4 linked regions of the Caenorhabditis elegans genome follow. The protein of the gene in region 1 interacts with the protein of each later gene in a pairwise test. Each region holds a gene or a part of one and is shown in the gene's direction. Other genes may lie near its edges. The genes, in order: nhr-66, zip-2, nhr-239 and hlh-33.

Region 1 (4,792 bases):
TAACTACTTCCTATGTTTTAAATTGAAACCAATAATCAAAATGAAGGCGATAATTGATTTTTTATTTTTATTTTCCGGATTTCGAGCGAGACTCAACTCTCAAACTCAAACTCGCGTCATTAAGATAAACGAGCATCTACACTTTTGGTTGCAAAAACTGCAAAAAAATTTTTTTTTAAACTATTTCCCAATTGATAATGCTTTCAAGTACATTTAAATGAACGTCTTCAAATATCAGCAAGCAAATTACAGTAACATTTCAATTCATGTTTATTTAGTTATACCAGAAAAAGTGCACCTGCCATTTACGCACTGTTTTATGGATTGAATCCATGACTTCTAGGCAGGTAGGCATGAAGTCCGAAATCTTGCTGCTGACTTGAATGAATCCCTAAACGAAAGCTGTCAAATACTTGAAAGAACACATTTGTATTCTTTTTTAATGTGCTTCTCGGAAAATTTTGATTTTTAAATGTTTTCTGCTACACTACGAAAATTTTCATAATATTCGCTAAATTTGCACGTGTTCAGTGAGCCTAACAACGCGACATGTCTACAAATATCTAGACACGAATGTATTTCTAACATTTGAATTTTTCAACTTCTTATGAGAGAAAGTCTTATGAGAAAAATCAAACGATGAACAGCTGAAGCATAACAGAAAATAAAAACATTTTTTCATTTCGACTATAGTTATAATTATTTACCCACAATGCCTGATTTCTCGAATTTTCATATTTTTTGTTCTTCTCTAAAATCTCTAACAATAGCCAAAATGTAGTCTGTTTTAAAGTTATTATGCGAGAAGCTGTGCACATATCCCATCTCGAGCCCCTTTTGTATGCACACTGCTGAGCATCAGAACGGACGGTATGCTGCACATCCCTCGTGACTGCGTATAATATCCACCCGATTTTTGTGTGATTAGCTGCAGAATATCGTATATCGAGGCGCGTTTTCCATTTGTGGCGATAATGCACATTTTTACTGTTGAATTCTCTTTTGAGGCTCCATAAACCACAAATAATGCGACGATCGTGTATTACAAATGTTCGACAACTGTGATTTCTCTGATTTCATCTTACTGTAGAAATAATTTCAAACTTCGCGCACAAATGGATTTCACCAGAGCGCACTTGCTGTATTCTTCGGTAGCAAATTTTTTCCAGCGAAAAGCATTTCGAAAAGCCTGTAAGCTTTCGTGAAATGAGATAATTTTTCGTGAAAAACGTTTCTACAATTTTTATCAATTTATTTATTTCAACATCTTCAAAAACATGTTACGTTCTTAAAAAAATACCTTTTAAAATTTACTATTAGCGAAAAATTGCTGAAAATTTTTGTTTTCTAAGATTATTTTTGTCCCGATGGTGTCGTCGTCACAACATCTCATACATATATACAGATAAAGAATAAAAGCGAATCCATTAGATTGGCGCATTTGATTTCTCGTTCAATCCGTCCTTTTTCTGCTGATCTTTCACGTGTCTCCTGCCGGCGGCCCCGCCCATTTTCTCATACTTTCAATTTTCAAGGTCCTTTTGTCAGTTCAGTATTCTAATTTTCCTCGTTCCTCGATGGCCTTCCGGTTACCTTGCTCTTGTTACAAAGCTCTCGCGAGCAAACTTCAGCCCGCCTCTTTTTTGAGAACTCGACTTGTGCTCGCCTGCTCTCTGTTGAGCTCAATTTATTCATTATTCTGATCGCAATTTTGTTTCGAATTAATAAAATTAGAAACGTCAACTATTTTCAGATTTCTTTCAGACATCTTCTATGGAATGCCGCCAATCAATGAGCCCACAGCGACGACAACATCAGCATCGTCGGTGTGGCAAGGAATGACACAGGTTTGCATAAAAATTGAATTTTATAAAGTTTAATATCAAATTTCCTATTAATATTAAATAGAATTCTATAAAATTTTATGCTTACAATAAAAAAATTGATTTTTTAAATTGTATCGTAGTCTCTGGCACAACGCAGGTAAATCGTTGCGAGACCAAGCCTTCCTTTGAACCATTTTCTTCAACAAATTGTTTCTTTTTTGTGGTTCCCTGCGCGCACAAATTGTATTTTTTTTAGTCGAAAAACTTGTTTCTTTGAAGAATTCATGAAATTTAATAATTAATTCAATAAAATATTTTATTTTCAGTTAAAATCTCAAGTCGACTTGATCAATATCGCTCGAGGAATTCTCTCAACCCCCGCAACAACATCAACATCATGTCTTGACATCCAGAATTCGACACCGATCATCGGTTCGTTGGCCTCCGGGAAATCCCAGACGCCAATTCTCACAGCGACAATGACTCCACAAATCGGTACGGTAGATTGTTATTGTCAATCAAGAAAAATGGGGGAGAAATGCGCGGGAGAAATTGAGTCGTAGTTCGCGTAAACAATTGTTGTTTTCTCTGAAATATTAATCAATCATGCTCGTTTTAAGGACTCACTGGGCTTGGTTCGTTGACATCGTTGCCTCCAGAACTTCTACTACAGTTCGCTAGACTGGACGGATTCAACTTATTACCGTGAGTTTTTTTTTCTTTTGAAAATTCAAAATTTTGCCGAAAATAGGCAGTTTTTTGTATGGAAAAAAAATTGCAATTGGAATTCAAAAAGAAATAATCAAAAAGTTGAACCTTCCGAATTAAATTTGAATTTTGATCTTTCATTATTATCTTCGCTCAAAGTCTTGTGCTTTGATCCATATCTTTCCTCCTGCTCTGTGACTTTGTACTTTTCATCTGTCTGATTTCTGCTTGACAACGCTGGAGTGTCTGATAAATCTAATCAAGCTGAGCAGCGCTATTTTCTTAAAAAATGTGATGTTACATACAGAAGAGACATAGAGTACATTGCTAATTCATAAGTTTAGAATAAAGAAACTCAAAATCAAAGAACAAAGTCAAATAATCCTTCATAATTTTAGTTGGTTGCCCTTGTCATTGGGAGCAGACTTCTCATATATATATATAAATGTGCATGCGCGACAACGGAAATGCAAGTAAAAGAGCATTGAAACAAAGATCCGTTGTATGTTGCATGACACATGAGTAGTGGAGAGTGTGGGAGAAAGGTGCAGAGTACAGCTGACTGGCATGCTCCTGTCGTTGAAATGTGTAGAAATGAAGGGATTTCTGTGCTGCAACGTTCCAGAGATACTTGTTGTAAGAAAGCTTCATTGTAATCATCTTTTCTCGACTAGACTGAAGTTTATATGTGCACCTGAAGCAGCTCTATTTTACAATTTGCAACTCACTTTTCTATGATTTCTAAATTAGTCGATGTGATTTTTCAATTATAAGATCAACGGGAACAAGTGGTGCAACATTATATTCAAGTTTTAACGGATTTATATAGCAACTTAATCAAGCTATTATATAAAAAGTCGAACACCAAATTGTTAGGTCTTCCGTCCATCGTTTAAAGCCCGAAGTCCTTCATCCATCCCCAATTGTCCGTTCCGCCTGACCATCGAAACAGCTTTGCAGCGCTCAATGACAGCAGATGCGCTTCAAAACAAACCGATAATAGGAGGAAAATTGAAGGGGTCAGAAATAACCCGCCTTGGTAGATCGGCTCCGTTTATAATTCCTTCCAAGCTAGCCGGCTCTCCGTTATTACTTCTTTGCCTCTTCCGTATATCCGAAACAGGTGGAAACTCTCGTCTCATTACCAACTCGTCGACTTTCTCTTTACTAAAGCTTTCCTCCTCTGACCCATCTTGTGCTTAACTGCATAATTTGAAATTCCCAGACTGCATGAGAACTTTTGCGTTGATGAGTCTCGTCTCTTTTTCTGCAAGGAAAAAAACCACAGAGAACCACACACAACGAGAAAGTTCAAAGGCTCAATGTATCATTTTACGTATTTCTCCTTTCTTTTCTTTCGCTAGCGCACACTTCAACATCCAAAAGCGCCACGTGTTTGTGTTTCGGGAAAACAGAAAACTGTGTGCTATAGCAAACTCAATACCCCATCACCGGAAACTTTCCGGTTTATCATCGCTTTTTGCGGTTTTTCTTTCGTGCGCCTGCCTGCTTGCAAAATACCACAAACTCATGTGTTATCGGTGTTGGCCTACAACATTTTCTATCATCATTTCGATGTTTATATAAAGATTTTTTCAAAAAGAAATGCATAGATCAGGATCGTGTTGATTCCAAAATGGAACTAGCAGGCTTTTGTCGTACTTTAGAACCTGGCTTATTGCCAAAATATTTCTATTCAAGTTGACAGCCGTTTGCTTTCGATTATTGTTCCGATGATCCCCATTTCGCCCTATTAAATGTTCAACATCTATTTGACAAACTCTAAAGACTACAAACTACGGGCATCTAGAATAAAGACGTTATCACTTGTTCTATTGTCCAGAAACTGTCATGTGAATATCTTATAAATCTCGTTGATCTTCAGTGGAAAAGCTGAATGAGACTAGTGTGTTAGAATATTGAAGTGATCTACATTAGATTGTTAAAATCTGCTGAAAGCCTACAATTACACATTTCAAAGCAGTTGAAATTAATTTCGCCAGTTTTATTTTGAATGGTGTTCATCGTGTAATCATTCGGATCGTTAGATCAAAACGATCAATTTCAGCGAATAGTCATGATAAAATGGTGACTTAGAGTTATCAGTTTGTGTTTATACTATAAACAACCGTTTGTGCATACGCAAAAATCGACTTTCGACTGTTTTAACTTCTTGTACAAAGATCGGGTTCACGAGGTGGCCAACCGTTTGTATTTTTTCGTAGAAATGACCTACAAACTAATAAGTATTCACGGAC
Region 2 (3,774 bases), on another chromosome or scaffold:
TTGCTCTGACTACAAATTTACGTCTTTGTTTTTCTGGTTTTTCCGGTTGCTTGGCAACAATTGCAATCGCTTATTTGTGTTCAATAACATAAAGTCATACAAACGGAAATCGAAGAAAAATTAATGAAGAAATGTAAAATTGAATATTTATTTTTTATAATTGAATCAACCAGGAGCTTTGTCGAATGTTGATTAATTTTGGCAAGCAGCCTTTTGGATAAATGATTCATTAACTTTAAAATATAAACGAAAAAAACTGTTCCTACGTTGAGAGTACTCCGCTTTGAAAATTATGAAACTACAGTAGTTTGTGACTAGGTACATCTTGTGACATACTGTTGCACAACATTGCATCAAGAGTGGACTATATAAACTGAACTCATTTGAAGAAAATCTTTCACATTTTGTATTCTCAGTCTTCAAATGGATCATATGATTTTCTAACAAGTCGCCCTTTCGACGTCCTGTCAATGCAATGTGTGATCAAAAAGGTTAGTCAGAAATACATTTTATTGAACAGGGTAAACATTGGAAAAAAGCGAAGATTACTCAGAAAACTCCGCTTATCAATCTTCAATTCTTATCAAATGACGTTATGAAGAATTGAAGCAAAAGTCCAATGTGCGATTGTTTAAATGGAATGTATATGTTCTATGAAGTTGTTATTATACCTATGTGTTAAATTCAAATATCGAAAATAAGCAAATGTTAATAAATTTGCTCATAGAACGCACAAGTAATGAGTTCACACCATATCTTGTCTGTATATAAAAATTCACAATGTATTTGAATAAATTATGTCGTACTTGATAAGTAGTGACGTCGGTTGTGATATAAATGCTTGATTAATTTTTGTTTGAATCACAATAATAGTTATTTTTCATACATTTCTCTGGGACGGTACGGGAACAATTTTTTACATGTACTTCAGGTATTTTTGAGAAGCTAACAATTTTCCATATCTAATTGGAAATCAATCATCATCAATTGTGACCTCCTGCAATCCAGTTTTTGTTCAATTAGAGATGCTTCATGAATTTTGTCAATGTGAATCAGAATACTTTCATACTATTTATACTTTTGTACCGATGATCACCATCTGAGTAACCCAACGATGGGTCAGAATGTGTGTTTCAGTTCCTTGATCTTTTGGTTGTGGTCTGAATCAACACATATTCCTCTCCACACTTCGTTCACATTGTTGGTCGGCTGTGTCGGTCGGCGCACGCTCACTGTCCTATTCAAACACACTCTGCCATCCCTAATCCTCTTGCGACACACAGTGTCTTGTCGACCCCCGTCGTCTGTCTCCGACTGGGTGACATCATGTGAAATCTTGCCAAATGTTGTGCAATAGTGGGTGGAGCGTCCGCTCTAACGTGGTTTTTGGGTTTTCTCTGCCTCATTCTTTCGTTTTGACAAATTGTCCATTGGTGACTTTTTGTTTTTTTTTTCTATTTTGCTTACGGGAATCGATTGTTTTGACATGCTTTTGCCTAAACGGTGGTATTTTTCAGCAAGGGACCAGTTTCAAGGTCCCACGACCGCCACCGTCCGCGGAGCAATCAAAACGTCCATCAGTTCGCTTTCATCGCCTTCTCCAGGTTTGTCATATACAAATAATAATTACCTTTTTAAATCATTATCTTATGACGATGACGTGGCGATCACCAATATAAAAAATCAATACAATTCAAATTAAAACGAATAAAATCGATAATTAATATATTTCAGAAAAGTTTTCCCCACCTAGCTAGAAGCTAGCTCGTTTGTCACTAGATTTCGACGGCCTTCCCGAAGATTTCTTTTCTCCACAATGTATCACGCAAAGACAACCACCGATTTTAACATGTTCAGTCAACAGTGTTGCTTCATGGACGAGGCCAAGTATGGAGCCGGTTAGTTTTTCATAATTGGACGAATATTTTATTTTTACAAATAATTGTTCAGCTATCGGCTCCACTAGCCGTCGGGTTTTCGGCTTGGCCTCCGTCGCCGCCACTTCCGCCGTTGGCCCACTCACCGCTCCAGGATGCAGTCCACGCCGACCACAACCATCGTCGGATCCTCAACTCTTGCAGAAACCTGCCGGATTGCCTGACGACTACAGTTCCTCAGCTTCACCAGATCAATTCTGCCGAGCAATCTCCACTACAGTTCACGCATCAACCAAATTGCGATTTAATTGTGGTTCTCGACGAGCAAACGACCTACACGACTACAATGACACGACGTTCCCTACCGAAAGCGGACCGTTATTTGAGCGGTTAGTTGGCGAATTTGAGCGAATTTGAATCATAATTTGAATAATAAAATTTTCAGAGCCCAACATGAGCACGCCACAAGCTTCCCACGGGAGCTTTGAATTTGATGTACCAGAGTACACATCCTTCGACTATGCATTCGATTTCCCACCGGTTCCAGAAGCCTTCCCACCAGCCGCCAATAGTTCCTCGGCTGCATCTCCAGATGCAGATTTTCTTGATCTGGATTCTCTCATGAGCTGTGATATCACATCTCTTGACGCCTACATTCATGATGATTCCATTGCCTCTCCTTCTAACGCTTCACACATTTCTCCTCCAGCGTCGGACATTGATCCAGTTGACGAGTTCTTTCCACAGCTTGTGCACAATAATAAAAGTAAGCTTAAGACAGTATCACACTAATTAGGAAAATCCACGTCATCGTCTGAACCCATTTATATATTCTTTAACTCAGCTCTTTGTTCAATTTAAACATTAAAAACCATTTCAGTTCAATCATCTTCCTCCTCAACAGTTGAAACGACAATAACACGTGGGCGCAAAACTTCATCGGTATCGTCCGATTCGTCATCGGACTACCGTCATAAACGGGATAAGAACAATCTAGCATCCCAAAAATCTCGTCAAAAGCGCCAAGCCAAAATTCGCGAATCAAAGGAGGAAAGAGAGCGTCTAGAGAAGCGAAAAGTTCAACTTCAAGCAATGGTTTTAACCTTGGAGACTCAAGTCGAGGACTACAAGCGATTGGTCATGATGTTTGTAAAGCGATAAATATATTAATCAGATCGCGTTTTTTTCTCATTTTATTGTGTGTGTACATAAATTCAAATTTAATTTTATTTTGTTCTCGTTTTTTTCCTCATTACTTATCCCTTATCCCTTATTCACCAACCTCATTTTATCTCATCTCATCTCAATAGCAAATAGTATTTATATTCCTTTTCATTAATCAAAATAAAGTAGAAAAATAGAAATAATTAATCATAATCATCAGGAATATTAAGGAAAGTTCCAATAGAGGGAAAGTGAATAGCACTAAACCCATCAGTACCTCCAACTCCAGCAGCTGGCACGGCCCAATGTGCACCATAAGCGATTTGGCCCTGGAGCCAATCCACGTTCACGGATTCCGGGTGATAATAGTATTTGTTAGCATGATCGCGATTATGTGGGTCATCTGGATTCGGCTCCCAGAGCCCTGGTTTAGTGAATGGTGATCTACTACGAGGGCGATGCAGGATTCCTCGAGAGTCGGTTAAAGAGTTGTATTGATCTAATGCATTGGAGAACACACTGTCCGAAAATACTGGAACTGCTGCACCACCTGTAGTTTTTTTCACGCGTGGAAGATTGGGAGCTGATTGATCGGCATCTTTTAGAACTTGATCTCTGAAAGAAGATTTGCGACTTGGTTAGAAATAAATATAACATTTTCATTATTTCTTAAAGCAATTTATAGAGTCTAACCTGTGAGTTTAAGAACCTAATCATATGAGTTTGTCTAAGA
Region 3 (7,000 bases), on another chromosome or scaffold:
CTGTAGGGGTACTGTAGTTTACTGTAGGATATTGAACAAAATTTTAAATTCGAAAAAAAAATTTTTTTTGATCGATGCACCATAACTTTTGTTGTGAGCCGAAATTAATGTGCACATACTACCAAAAAATCCAATTAACTCTTAATAATCTGCTGAAAGCCTTAAAATCCTTAAAACCTAACTTGAAATAATTACAGGGATGGACTGAAACATTTCGCGACGCTTTTGGTTCGGTGACGTCACGTATGGTACCTTCTAGGTCGGCACAACGACTTTGAATTCTTCATTTTTCTTCGGTTCTTTAATTTTCTGTATTTTTGATGGATTTTTCTCATATTTTTTTCTCTCATACTCTGTTCTGCTCATCCCAAATATGCTTTCAAACCAAAAGTTTACCCCGGCCCCTCACTTGGCAATATTCTTCAATCCACCGATACATTTTTACTTGTACAATCCCTCTTTCTGTGTAGCTTTTTCAACATCTGTGACAATTTTTTTTTGTTTTGTAGAATTTGATTTCTTTGAAAAAAGGTTTTTCTGATAAAAATGGAGTTTTATAACAAGTTTGGTGGAATGAACATGGTGCATCGATAGGTCGCGAAAATTGTTTGGCAGGAAGCTAGGCAGGCAGGCAGGCAGGTAAGTGAGCAGGTAGGCAGGCGGATAGCCATGTAGGTATGTAGGTACACCAATAGGTATGTAGGTAGGTAACCAGGCTGGTATGCAGGCATGCAGATAGGAAGGCCGATAGGTATGTAGGTAGGTAGCCAAATTGGTAGACAGGCATGAAGGCAGAAGACAGGTATTCAGTTAGGTAGGTAGGCCGGTAGGTATGTAGATAGGCAGCCAGGCTGGTAGGCAGGCATACAGGCAGATAGGTGTTTAGGTGGGCAGGAACGCCTATAGGCATTTAGGTAGGTAGGATGGCCGATAGGTATGTAGGTAGGTAACCAAGCTGGTACACAGGCATGCAGGCAGATAGGTATTAAGGTAGGCAGGTAGGCCGATAGGTATGTAGGTAGGTAACCAGGCTGGCAGGCAGGGGTCATACTGATAGGTAGGTAGGAACGCCGATATGTATGTAGGCATGCAGGCAGATAGGCATTTAGGTAGGTAGGTAGACAGGCTGGTAAGCAAACTAATAGTTGTTCAGTGAGATATTTAAAGTTTTCAATAGAAAATTTTAAAAAAATTAATTTGAATTTCTTTTTGCAAATTTTTTTTCTAAATTTTTTTCATAATTTTTTGCCTGTTTTTGCCCTTTTTTGCCCCAGCCAATTTCAGCTTCAAAATAGCAAATTCTTTCCGATTTTCCATAGAAAATCTATTCGATCAGAGTGTCGGTTGCTCAAAAATTCAATAAATAATTAATGCGCCCCGACTTATGATGAAGTAAGCTTCTTCTAACCTTGTGATTTTGGGAAAGGTGGGGGACTATTCTCATATTTCAACTAGTACTACTACTACCATCTGACACCGAATACCTTTCCAATTAGTGATTCTCAGGTGGTATAAATTGGCGAGCTGCAATACGGAGATATGCCTTTTATTTTTCGGTTTCCGGTGATTTTGCTAATTTTTCGATGGGTAAGTGAGAATTTTCTCGGTTTTTGTAATTATTCTGCAAAATTTGAATAAAAATTGGCCGCGCTACGTAGGCCAATAGTTCGTTGGGGCGCGTTTGCAGCAGTTCTTCGAATTTTTTAGTTTTTTACGAAAAACTCGTTAACTACAGTTTGAATTTGTTTCTTTCACAAAAACATTAATGGAATTTCCGCAAGCGGCAAACGATTTTTTCCGGCAAACCGGCAAATCGGCAAATTGCCGGAATTGAAAATTAATGGCAAATCGGCAAATTGCCGGAAATTAAAATTTCCGGCAAATCGGCAAACCGGCAAATTGATTTGCCGAATTTGCCGGAAAAATGGCAAATCGACAAATTGCCGGAATTGAAAATTTCCAGCAAATCGGAAAATTGCCGGAAAAACGGCAATTGCCAAAAATTTTCCGAAAATGTGAGGTCACACGAATTTCACAGCGCGCGCTCAAATTGGCGCAATTTCTGTAGATCAAATATCGTTTTCAGGCCGAAAAGACACGGCAGCCGTGAACTGTGAGATTTGTGGAGACAAGTCTTACGGTAGACACTATGGAGTATGGGCATGTGATGGATGCAGTTGCTTTTTCAAGAGAAGTGTACGCAAGAATATTATCTATACTTGTATTGGTTAGCTTTCAGGCCGGAAATTTATATTATCTGAAATTATATTTCAGCGGGAAATTGGAAGTGCGTCGTGGATAAAGGCCGAAGGAATTGGTGCCCGGCGTGTCGGCTTGCAAAATGCACAAGGTTGAAGATGAATAGACTCGGTGAGTAATAGGCTCAGGCCTAGGTGTAGGCCTAGGTGTGGGCCCAGGCATAGGCTTAGGATTAGACATGGGCCTAGGCTTAGACTTGGGCTTAGTCTTAGGCTTAGTCTTAGACTGAGGCCTAGGCTTAGGCTTAGGTGTAGGCCTAGGAGTAGGATTAGACTTTGAATCAGGAATAGTACTAGGCTTATTCGTGGGCTTAGGCTTAGGCTCAGTCTCTGGCTTAGGTTTAGGACTTGGCTTGGGCATAAGGTTATGCTTAGGCTCAGGCTTATGATTAGGCTTTGAATTAGTCTTAGGCGTAGGATTAGGCTTCGGCTCAGTCTTTGGCTCAAGCGTAGGATTAGGCTTTGGCTCAAGTCTCTCTTCTCTCTCTCTCTCCCTTTCCTAGAGTTTCAAACATTTCCGAGTCAAAAATAATATCAAGTTGCGACCCGATTTATGAATTCACAAAAATAACTTGAAATAGTCTAATATGTACACGATGAAAATTTAAATATACTAATAAAAAATATGGCGAAATTATTTGACATGAAAATTATCTTCTTATCCATCACTCCAGCGTGATTGTATCGTCGTGGCAGCTGCGTGCCTCCTCCTGGAACAGCTCCAGAGTTTCCGAGAAGCCGTCCTCCTCGTACTCCTCCGGCTCTGGCACAGACAGCTTCCGCGATCTTCTCGGCACCACGAACGTCCTCTGAAGGATCCTTGAGAGTTCCGGCTCCACGAGCTCAGCACCAGTGTCCTCAGAATCTCCGAGAGTTCCAGAGCTTCCGGAAGCGTTGTCGTCGGGAACTGTGAGCTCCATCTGAGAATGGTCATCTTCTGCTGGAGCGAGCATCTTCATAGTCCGGTCGAGCTCCTCCTCGGTGATTTGTGCTCCGGCTCCTTCTGGCTTTGCAGCTTCCTTGGCGAGAGCAGCAGCTCGGCGACACAACGCCATCATCGAATGACTGGCCAACTTCGGTGGGAATCGCATTTTCATCACTTGCTGACAGTCGGCTTCGCTTTGCAACGTCTCCAGAAGTTTGTCAAAGAGATTCCAGAATTTGTACGTCTCGGCGAGCTGGAGACGAAGCGAGAAATCCATTGACTCATCGAGTGAGAGCCAATTTTCGCAGCGAGCCATCACAAAATCCACGCCAAACCGTGCAGAAACCGTCAGAAGCGACTCCACATTCTGTGCTGTGATTTGATCCGTGTTGTGGTACATGAATTCGAGGAATTTGAGGAAATCCTCGGAAGAGACGTCCTGAATTGTGATCTCTGGATCTCCCGGGGTGGCGAACAGAGACTGGAAGACCCGCGAATGTGTGGCGAGATACTGAAAATAGTGAATTATTACACAAAAATTTTAGTAGTTTTCACAAACCTGCTTCCCCACGTGGAACTTCCGCTCCTCCACCACCACGATTGCGTCGAACACGAGCTCCTTTGGCATCGAGAAGTCCATTCCAGCCATTGTCTCGTTAGAACTGCTGGCGGTGCTGAAAAATCGAGTTTTACTTTGAAAATCCAAGAAAAATAGGCAGAAAATCGGCAAAAAATGAAGAAAAATCGAGTTTTACATTGAAAAAAAATGGCCAAAAATCGGAGAAAAATGGGCAAAAAACGGAGAGAATTGATGACAAATCAAAGAAAATGGAAAAAAAGAAGAAAATTCTGGAAGTGCAATGAAGCGCAATTCCCGCCGGTGTTTGCGTATTCTGCGCAATTTTCGTTTGACCTACGTAGGTCAAATCGAAAAGGGGCACTCTGACACCACCGGAAAACCCGATAAATTTCGGGAAACCGATAAATTTTTAGAAAAATCGAAAAATTACTGGAAAACCAATTGATTTCCAGAAAAATCAATAAATTTGCAAAAAAAAAATTGAGAAAATCGGAGAATTTTTTTTCCGTAAATTTATCGATTTTTTGGTTAATGTATACACTCAAAATAATAAAACTGCGTGGCGTGTACTGCAGAAAACCTCATATTTAGGCCCCGCCTTTTTCTCGTCCACTCACGGAGAAAAGGCAAAAATTTGGGGACCAACCAATATCAGGCCGCCGACATCCTACGGGTTCCGCGCGCCGCTATGTTTAACTCGCTGTGGGCGTGGTGCTGTCTCCGCCCGCTGCGAGTTAAACAAAGTTTTCACAAACCTGCTTCCCCACGTGGAACTTCCGCTCCTCCACCACCACGATTGCGTCGAACACGAGCTCCTTTGGCATCGAGAAGTCCATTCCAGCCATTGTCTCGTTAGAACTGCTGGCGGTGCTGAAAAATCGAGTTTTACTTTGAAAATCCAAGAAAAATAGGCAGAAAATCGGCAAAAAATGAAGAAAAATCGAGTTTTACATTGAAAAAAAATGGCCAAAAATCGGAGAAAAATGGGCAAAAAACGGAGAGAATTGATGACAAATCAAAGAAAATGGAAAAAAAGAAGAAAATTCTGGAAGTGCAATGAAGCGCAATTCCCGCCGGTGTTTGCGTATTCTGCGCAATTTTCGTTTGACCTACGTAGGTCAAATCGACGCCCGCTGCGAGTTAAACAAAGCGGCGCGCGGAACCCGTAGGATGTCGGCGGCCTGATATTGGTTGGTCCCCAAATTTTTGCCTTTTCTCCGTGAGTGGACGAGAAAAAGGCGGGGCCTAAATATGAGGTTTTCTGCAGTACACGCCACGCAGTTTTATTATTTTGAGTGTACGAAGCTGTAATGAAAAGAACCTTACATATATCTACAGAATTGAGACTCTTCGCACCAACGCCCCTGGGTAATATTAATTTAAAAATTGAACAGAATGTGTTGTCAATTTACGTTTTTAAATAGTGTTTTCTTTTTGCTTAACTGATATATCAAGTTCAATTCAGCTGTCCAAACTGAACGAGGACCTCGGAGGCTTCGATGCCTGCAGCTGAAACATACCAATAACCCCATCTCTTTCAAATGTAAGTCTATACTCGGGTAATTCATCAAAACTTATACACCAACTTAGCCTTGCATAGCCTTCTTTCTTCTAAGTTTGACTATTACAAAATTCTGAGAATGCGTATTGTGCAACATATTTGACGCGCAAAATATCTCATAGCGAAAACTACAGTAACTCTTTAAATGACTACTGTAAAGCTTGTGTCGATTTACGAAAATCATTTTTGATCGATAAAATATTAAAAATTAATAGTAAGCAAAAAAATGAACAAAATAATACGAAAAATCGAAGAAAAATGGAATATCGCTGTCACTTTTGGAAAATAAATTCATTTCGAAAGTAATTAAAAGAGATACTGTAGTTTTCGCTACGAGATATTTTGCGCGTCAAATATGTTGTGCAATACGCATTCTCTGAATTTAGTGTTCACGTAATACTTTGGACAACTTTATCCAACTTTTTTCAATCAAATTTAGCAACTTCTACGCTTGGCATTTCTAAAATTGCTAAAGTTGGTGGATAAGTTGTAGATTTCTTCTCTTATTCTCAGGTTTTTTTTTCCATTTCCAGATGACTCGATATTCTCGAAATCCGTAATCCTTACATCAAAATGCTTATTGCTAAACTTCATGTCCCAACAGGAACGTCGAGAAGTTGTTGAAGAAAACTGCCAAATCATATTTGCCCTATTGATATTGGCCAGTGGAGATGAGGCAGTACTAAGCAGGTTTCCAGTAAGTTTTTGGGTCTCACAGCGAATATTACCGTAACCCATTTAAGCCGCCAAAACCTATCCCGCAAAAAGTGCATTGTGACCCAGAACAACTACGGCTGACTATCTGCATACTTCTCTCCCAATCCAGTAAGTTTCAGATCCCCTTTTATTTATGCTAGATCTAGCTAGATATTAATTTTCCAGCCAGTCCCCTTCTGAAATTCGCTGCACCTTTGGAAAACTTTTATAAATGTTGTCTATGGCGGTACTCCTTCACAAATGACTCTATCGAGACAGCTACACAACTAATCAATACAGTTACGTGGCTCTATGAAAACGGACCATGGGAGATGTCAAGTTTGCTCCGAAGCTCCATGAGCAGTCTTATTACTGAAGTCTTTGAATCAGATAATGTTGAATTGTTTTGATTTTCAATTGATGGATGAATAAATGTTTTAATGAATTTACCGGTTTGCAATTTGCCGATTTGCCGGAAAACTTAATTCCGGCAATTTACCGGTTTGCCGGAAATTTTCAATTTCTGCAATTTGCCAATTTGCCGGAAATTTTCATTTCCGGCAATTTGCCGATGTGCCGGTTTGCCGGAAATTTTCAGTTCCGGCAATTTGCCGGTTTGCCGATTTGTCTGAAATTTTCAATTCAGACAAGTTGTCGGTTGGAATGTTTGTCGGAAATTTTCAATTCCGGCAATTTGCCGATTTGCCGGAAATTTAAAGTTCGGCAATTTGCCGGTTTGCCGATTTGCGAGAAATCTTAATTCCGGCAATTTGTCGATTTGCCGGAAATTTTCAATTCCGGCAATTTGCCGGTTTGCCGATTTGTCTGAAATTTTCAATTTCAGCAATTTACCGGTTTGCCGGAAGTTTTCAATTCCGGCAATTTGCAGGTTGGCCGATTTGCCGGAAATTTTCGATTCATGGCAATTTGCCGATTTGCCGGAAATTTTCATTTTCGGCAATTTGCCGGTTTGCCGATTT
Region 4 (6,375 bases), on another chromosome or scaffold:
ATGAATTCTACGTCTCTTTTCACTCCGGAAACCCAATTTCCAAAGCTCAGCTACCAAATCCTGAGAAGCTGTGCATTTTGTCGTAGGAGCTGCGGCGGTGTTTGCGTACTTTTGGCGCTACCGTACTCAGAGAAAATCAAAAGTTGAGCTAGAGACTCGGCAAAAAATGTGAATAGTGGGAAATTATGCGAGGATTTCGTTTTTGAAGTTGGTTTTCCAAAAAAAAAATTGATTTTTCGGAAAAAAATTTTCCAAAAAAAAAATTTTTTTTTTACAAAATATTGTTTTCCCCGCCGGGGTAACCAGAAATGAAAGCCGTAGAGGGAGAAAAATGAAGAAAGTGACCTTGAAAGTCCCTTTCTGCCATACAAAAAACGCTCCCCTAACCAGCTGCCCCCACACACACAACTTATTCCGAGGCACACGAGAGAGTACACACAATCAAAGAGACGCAGAAATGCGGCAATTTCGAGTGTTGGGGGCGATGAAGACGGCGGAGACCATTCATTTTTGCCATCTGATCACTTTTCCGATTTTTTCTAAATTTTTTTTTTTGACAAAAGTTTTATACAACTCGGTAAATAATTTTTGTACGTAGGCTTACTTTGAGGTCTTATAACTTTGGACTCAAATGAACTGTCAAATTTTAAAGTAAATTGCCTGAAAGATAAAGTTTTAACGCAAATTTTGGTAAAATTTCACCAAAATTCATTTGGTAGTTTTTGAGAAATTTAGGTTTTAATTGAGAAAATAAAAATGTTGAAAATTTTTTTTTTTAATTTTTAAATTTTTTTTTTTTGCATTTTCCAAAAGTTTAAATCAAAAATTTGATATTTTCTGAAAGAAAAATAAAAATATATTTAACGCTAATTCTGACAAAATGTCAAGCAATTTGCACAATTATTCTTTGAGATACTACAGTTTTACCGAAGAAATTTCATTTTTCAGTAAATTTTTCAAAAATTTAAAATTTAAATGGGTTTTCTGAAACTTTAGGGCAATAACACATTTTTTACAATAAAATTTTTTTAAAAAAACAATGAAAAGTACATATTTGTCAAGTTAGAAAATTTGAATTTTCACCAAAATTTTTTTTTAAACTTTTTTGAAATTTTTTTTTAATCCTTGAAAAAAATTTAAAAAGTTCAAAAAAATGTCTTTTCATCAGAAAATTTAATTTTTATTACAATTTGGTTATGTATATACTTTTATTAATATAAATTTATTGATATCCTCAACAGATATATGCTTTCAAAGGTTGAACTGGACATGGTGCATCGATCAAAAACTTGGACAGCTTATATCTCAGTTGTCATTGTTTTTATCAAAAAATCGATAACTAATAAAATGTTCATTATGAACTTCTCTATAACTTTGTAGTTGAGCACTTTTCCATATCTCCAAAATTAACAGAGATACTAGCCGTCAAAGTTAGAGTTAGACATGTTGCATCGACCTTTCCTAACTTTGACAGCCCATAACTCGGTTAATATTGAGCCAAAGGTTGTAAACTGACAAAATGTTCATCATGTTTTTCTCTATAACTTTGTTGTTTAACATTTCTCCCTACCTTTAATATTAACCGAGATATAAGCTTTTAAAATTTAATAGTACATTTTTCAGAATGTCCGACTCCCCGCAGAGCTGCAAAAAGCCGCGAACTCGGAAAGAAACTATTCAAAAGCGAGAAACACGAAGTAAGCATGAAAAACGACGAAGGGAAGAGATGAATGAAGTGATTTGTGAAATGTCGACACTTTTGCCCGAAGATATTCGGGCTCATAAGCTGCGAAGAGTGGATCAGAAGCCTCGTCAGCTGGACAAATGCTTTATCATTGGGAGTACTGTTGATATTATTCGGAATAGTGATTATAGTGAGTCTACAGATTCAAATTAGTAATAATATTCTAATTTGGAATTTTTTTTTAATTTTGAAAAAATTTGGAAAAAAATTTGAAAAAAAATTTCGAAAATTTTTTCTTTTTTTTTTGCAAATTTTTTTCCTAAATTTTCGATTTTCAAAGCTTTTTTCTTTGTTTTTTACTCTAAAACTCGGTAAAACAACTCTATTTCCTCCCGAGAAAAATATAAATTCAACCTATTACAGTAACCCTGATCCGTTTCGTGGCGGGACCCAAAATTTCAAATTACCTTCAAACCAAGGCATGTTGGGTGTCATTTTAAAGCAATCATTGAGCTAAACTCAAATTTGAAAGCCATTAAGCTGAAAATCTCGAAATTTTCGGAATTTTCAGTCAATTTCAATTTCCTCCATTTTCCAGAACCACCGCTGCTCTCCGACCCGCTCGTCCAGGATATTTTCAGCCTGACCAACTGTTTTATGGTTTTTCTGAACAATTTTATTGTCGTGGATATTAAGGGAGACCATCAGGCAGTTTTTGATATTGAAAAAGTTTGTTTTATTGATTTTTTTTCGATTTAAAAAAAAATTCAAAAAGCCATTAAATGGGCAGAGTTACAGGCCTCTGAAAATAATTGTTAGGCTTAGGTGTAGGCTTAGGCGTAGGCTTAGGCTTAGGCTTCAAACATTTTTTTGGGATTAGGCTTAGGCTCAGGCTTAGGCTTAGGCTTAGGCTTAAGCGTAGGCTTAGGCTTAGGTTTAGGATTAGGCCTAGGCTTAGGCTTGGGCTTAGGCATAGGCTTATTAGAAAAAATGGGAAAAAAAATTCTCAAAACATTTTTTTTGGAATTTAATTTTGTAAAATTTTCCAAATTTTGTCCCAGACGGGCGTGACAATCAAATGCACACTTTTTTAGTTGACAACTTTTTGCTAACCCTTAAATGGTAGCAACCTTTAAGCTTCAGTAACTCCGCCCATTTATTGGCTATCAAAAAATTTTCAACCGACAAAAGCTTCACCATGAAAAAAAATCTGCAAATTTTTTCAGTTGACAATTTTTTTCTAGCTTTTCTAGATTTGAAGATATTTGAGTTTATTTTTTTGAAAAAAAAAAATCCCAAAATTTTTTTTGTGGGATTTCATCTTTTTATAATTTTTAATTTTCCAAATTTTTTCCCATACAGGCGTCCCCAATTAAATGTTCCTTGTAAACAAAATGTCGTCATATTTTCGGGGAAATATTATCAAGGTCACTTTTTCCCAAAAAAAATTCGATTTTTTCGGACTGTGTGTCAGCTGACTTGTTTCAAGGTGAACTGGTGGTGGACCGGGGGTGGGGGGGGGGGGATTTGGTGAATCATTGGGATTTTTTCGGTTGGAAAATGTTTTATAACATTTTAGATAGTATAAAAATTTAGAAAGTTTTCGAAAAAAGTTTCAAAAAAAATTTTTTTTTTTGGACTTTTTCTGAAAAATTTTTTTTTTTTTGTTAAACTAAATTTTTTTAAAGTTAGAAATTCTAGAAATAAGTTGTAAACTAACAATTTTTGTCAAAATTTTTGCAAAAGATTTGAATTTTTCGCTAGTTGATAACTTTTTAGTAACCATTAAATGGGCGTAGCTGCTGCCTTCCGTAACTCCGCCCATTTCATGGTTATCAAAAAGTTTTCAACTAACAAAATGTTCATTTTGAAATTCTACACACTTTTTTAGTTAACAACTTTTTAATAGCTGTTTTAGTTTTTGAGATATTTAAAAAAGAAAAAAAAATTTTTTAATGAAATTTTTTTTTTCAGAAACGTATGATTGGAAAAGATATCCGATGTTTTCTGGACTACGATTCAACGTCCAAACTGTCATTTCTCACTTCCAAAGAAATGCTCAATGAGCTCCAACTCAAAAGCTTCATGGCGAAGTCAATGACGTGCAGAATAAAGGAATCGGCGGAGGTTTGGGATTAAAATGTTTTTTTCAATTCGAACAATTCGAAAAATTTAGCTTTAAAACTAATTTATTTGAATTTGGCGTGTAAATAGCTTTTGAATGACACCCATCATGCCTAGGTTCCCGCAATTTTGGGGGAATTTTCCGGGTCCCGCCACGAAAACTGGCAGGGTTACTGTAGTTTTGAATGAAACTAACTTTTTCAATTTTTTTCAAAAAAGTGTGATCACTGAGCTAACTTTGAAGAAAAAAATTAAGAAAAAATAGTGAAAACTAAGAAAGTTACAGATTTTCGAAAATTTGTGAAAAAAAATTTTTTTAAACAAAATTTTTTACCAAAAAAAACTTATTTTGTCAATTTTTTTTTAGCTGAGAATCACAATTTTACTCTCAGCAACCCAGAAAACCTGCAAAACCTGGTAAAACCAGTAAAAACAACCAAACTACAGTAACCCAGAAAGTTTTCGCGGCGGGACCCGAAATTTTAATCATTCACGGAATATAGGCATGATGGGCCTTATTTTGAAGCTCTGGACGTGCTTAATTTGAAAATGTACGAGTTTTGGCTCAAAATCGTGATTTTAACCAAAAAAATTAGTTGTTAAAAAATTGAAAAAATTTTTTTTTCCAAAATTTCAAAAATTCCTAGAAATTTTTAAAAATCAAAATTTTTCCAGAAACCCACGGAAACAGTTTTAGTCTGTGTGCCTGATGAGCTTCCAGCTCTCCCGGTTACTGTACCCAAGGCTCCGCCCATTTTAGCTTCGCCCCTTCAGAAGACACCGCCCCCGCCGTCGAGTTTGGAGGTGAAAAGCCCGATTTTGGCGGCACTTTTGAGGCGAAAAGAGGATAATTGTGTGAAAGTGGTAAGTTATTAATAAGAATTAATAGTTTGGCGGGAAATTTCAAACTTTTTGAGAAAAAAAAAATTGAAATTTTTTTTTTCGGAACTTTTTTTTCTAAAAAATTATTTAACACTATTTGTTGAATTCCAGAGCTCCCCAAGCTCCTTCCTCTCGCCGGGCTCCTCCACCTCGTCTACAGTACCCAATGTGAAACCTACAGTAACCCGCCGACCTACAGTACCCACAAAACGGAAGAGACTACGATCGATGAATGTTATAGTGGAAAGTTATCCGTTGGATGATGAGAAGTCGGATGGAAATTCACAAAAATCGGCGAAAATTGGGAAAAAGAGGTTTTTTCTAACAAAAAAAAACGTTAAAACCTACAGTAATCTACTCCAAAATCCATGCGAGACCCTTAAAACTGAAAATTTCAAATTTAGCTCAACAAGACCTTTCAAATGACCCCCATCATGCCCGGGTTCAAATTTTCACAAATTTATTCAAAAGTTGGGTCCCGTCACGTGGGGTACTGTAGCACTGGTTTCAGCTGTGTCAGTGACATAATTTCGGAGTTTTTCCGAAGCTCTAAGCGTGCGAAAGTTAAAAATGTTAATAAAATTCTTAACATGTAAGATTTTATTGATTTTTTCAAAAAAAAAAAATTTTCTAATTTTTCTGAAAAAACTTGCAAAACTATGTAAATTTTCAGCCAAACTAGCACTATTCCAACTCCGAGAAGCACTTTGAGCCCAACTACAGTAATCCATCCGTCCACGTCACTAATTCAACCGATTCCGACACTTGGAATGAACCCATTTGACATGTTATCACCTGGTTATCAAGATGTATGTGAAAATTATCGATTTTTAATGGTAAAATCAATAAATCATCGCTAAAAACTAGTTTTTATCAATAGAGCGCACTTGCAACACGGTTTTAATTCAAATTATCGACTTTTCAACTACAGCTACTATCAATTTTCCAGATTTGGCTCCGACTACAAAGTGAGCGACTTCTGCTGGAAAAACGAATTTCAGCGAAAGAAGGGGAGCTGAAAAACCTGATGCAATTCGTTCAAAACCCCCCGTTTTTGAATTTCCCCCAATATATGCTCCCGCAAGGGCCACTTGGTGCTCAAAATCAATAGTTATGGGTTTAAATGAATAAAATAAATATTTATTTACAAAATTTGATTATTATCGACGGGAATTTGTTTAAAATACTGCAAAATATACTGGGAAATTTCCGGAAAAATCATTTCGAAGTTAATTATCATTTGAAAAACCGCCGAAAACTGTGAATGCGCAAGGAGAGGTTGCTGGCGCATTTCTCTTGTTGCTTGCGCACTCTGCGATGAAATTAATTTATTTTATTTTTTCATCATTTTCGTTGGGTTTTCATCATTTTTCAGCGATTTTTTTGCAATTTTTTTCAAAATTCCCATCAAATCTATAGTTTTTCTCACAGGAAATGGACTCGGCCGACCCTCAACTCAATCGATTCCTCCAGCAACTGCAGGCGGAGACGCAGCGTCAAAAATTCACCGAACAAGTGCACACGCTCACCGGTCGCTGCTGGGATGTGTGCTTCGCCGACTACCGTCCGCCAAGCAAGATGGACGGCAAGACTCAGACCTGTATTCAGGTAAAAATTTGGGAAAATTTGGCAATTTTCTGCAATTTTATGGGAAAATTGAAGAAAAAATTTAAAAAATCCAATTT

What was found.
Region 2: the proteins of nhr-66 (region 1) and zip-2 interact in a two-hybrid assay, tested with the Caenorhabditis elegans proteins (one large-scale study listed by BioGRID).
Region 3: the proteins of nhr-66 (region 1) and nhr-239 interact in a two-hybrid assay, tested with the Caenorhabditis elegans proteins (one large-scale study listed by BioGRID).
Region 4: the proteins of nhr-66 (region 1) and hlh-33 interact in a two-hybrid assay, tested with the Caenorhabditis elegans proteins (one large-scale study listed by BioGRID).

Annotation. Positions count from the first base shown.
Region 1 is NC_003282.8:8,233,564-8,238,355, reverse strand, and holds the start of nhr-66 (Nuclear hormone receptor family member nhr-66), read left to right. Parts: upstream 1-1,773; 5' UTR 1,774-1,778; coding exon 1,779-1,847; intron 1,848-2,152; coding exon 2,153-2,321; intron 2,322-2,446; coding exon 2,447-2,531; intron 2,532-3,341; exon of another isoform or gene 3,342-4,792. UniProt on the Caenorhabditis elegans protein: Transcription factor. Binds to regulatory elements and regulates transcription of target genes, including the potassium channel accessory subunit mps-2. Negatively regulates transcription of mps-2, thereby modulating age-dependent memory decline.
Region 2 is NC_003281.10:832,571-836,344, forward strand, and holds zip-2 (Transcription factor zip-2), read left to right. Parts: upstream 1-1,517; 5' UTR 1,518-1,604; intron 1,605-1,734; 5' UTR 1,735-1,889; coding exon 1,890-1,898; intron 1,899-1,950; coding exon 1,951-2,266; intron 2,267-2,322; coding exon 2,323-2,643; intron 2,644-2,757; coding exon 2,758-3,038; 3' UTR 3,039-3,241; downstream 3,242-3,774. Other genes in the region: dos-3 (Delta and OSM-11-like), read right to left, coding at 3,245-3,656. UniProt on the Caenorhabditis elegans protein: Transcription factor that binds to the promoter and the enhancer regions of target genes. May act together with the bZIP transcription factor, cebp-2. Involved in responding to mitochondrial damage.
Region 3 is NC_003281.10:2,560,127-2,567,126, forward strand, and holds nhr-239 (Nuclear receptor domain-containing protein), read left to right. Parts: upstream 1-1,583; coding exon 1,584-1,587; intron 1,588-2,086; coding exon 2,087-2,227; intron 2,228-2,274; coding exon 2,275-2,370; intron 2,371-2,792; exon of another isoform or gene 2,793-2,923; coding exon of another isoform or gene 2,924-3,694; intron 3,695-3,742; coding exon of another isoform or gene 3,743-3,832; exon of another isoform or gene 3,833-3,857; intron 3,858-5,228; coding exon 5,229-5,306; intron 5,307-5,857; coding exon 5,858-6,021; intron 6,022-6,067; coding exon 6,068-6,149; intron 6,150-6,206; coding exon 6,207-6,430; 3' UTR 6,431-6,469; downstream 6,470-7,000. Other genes in the region: feh-1 (Protein Fe65 homolog), read left to right, coding at 198-278; Y54F10AM.11 (BTB domain-containing protein), read right to left, coding at 2,924-3,694, 3,743-3,832.
Region 4 is NC_003281.10:1,853,769-1,860,143, forward strand, and holds hlh-33 (BHLH domain-containing protein), read left to right. Parts: upstream 1-1,623; 5' UTR 1,624-1,624; coding exon 1,625-1,874; intron 1,875-2,282; coding exon 2,283-2,413; intron 2,414-3,658; coding exon 3,659-3,811; intron 3,812-4,483; coding exon 4,484-4,672; intron 4,673-4,801; coding exon 4,802-5,004; intron 5,005-5,363; coding exon 5,364-5,499; intron 5,500-5,639; coding exon 5,640-5,801; 3' UTR 5,802-5,835; downstream 5,836-6,375. Other genes in the region: ddp-1 (Mitochondrial import inner membrane translocase subunit Tim8), read left to right, coding at 6,125-6,298.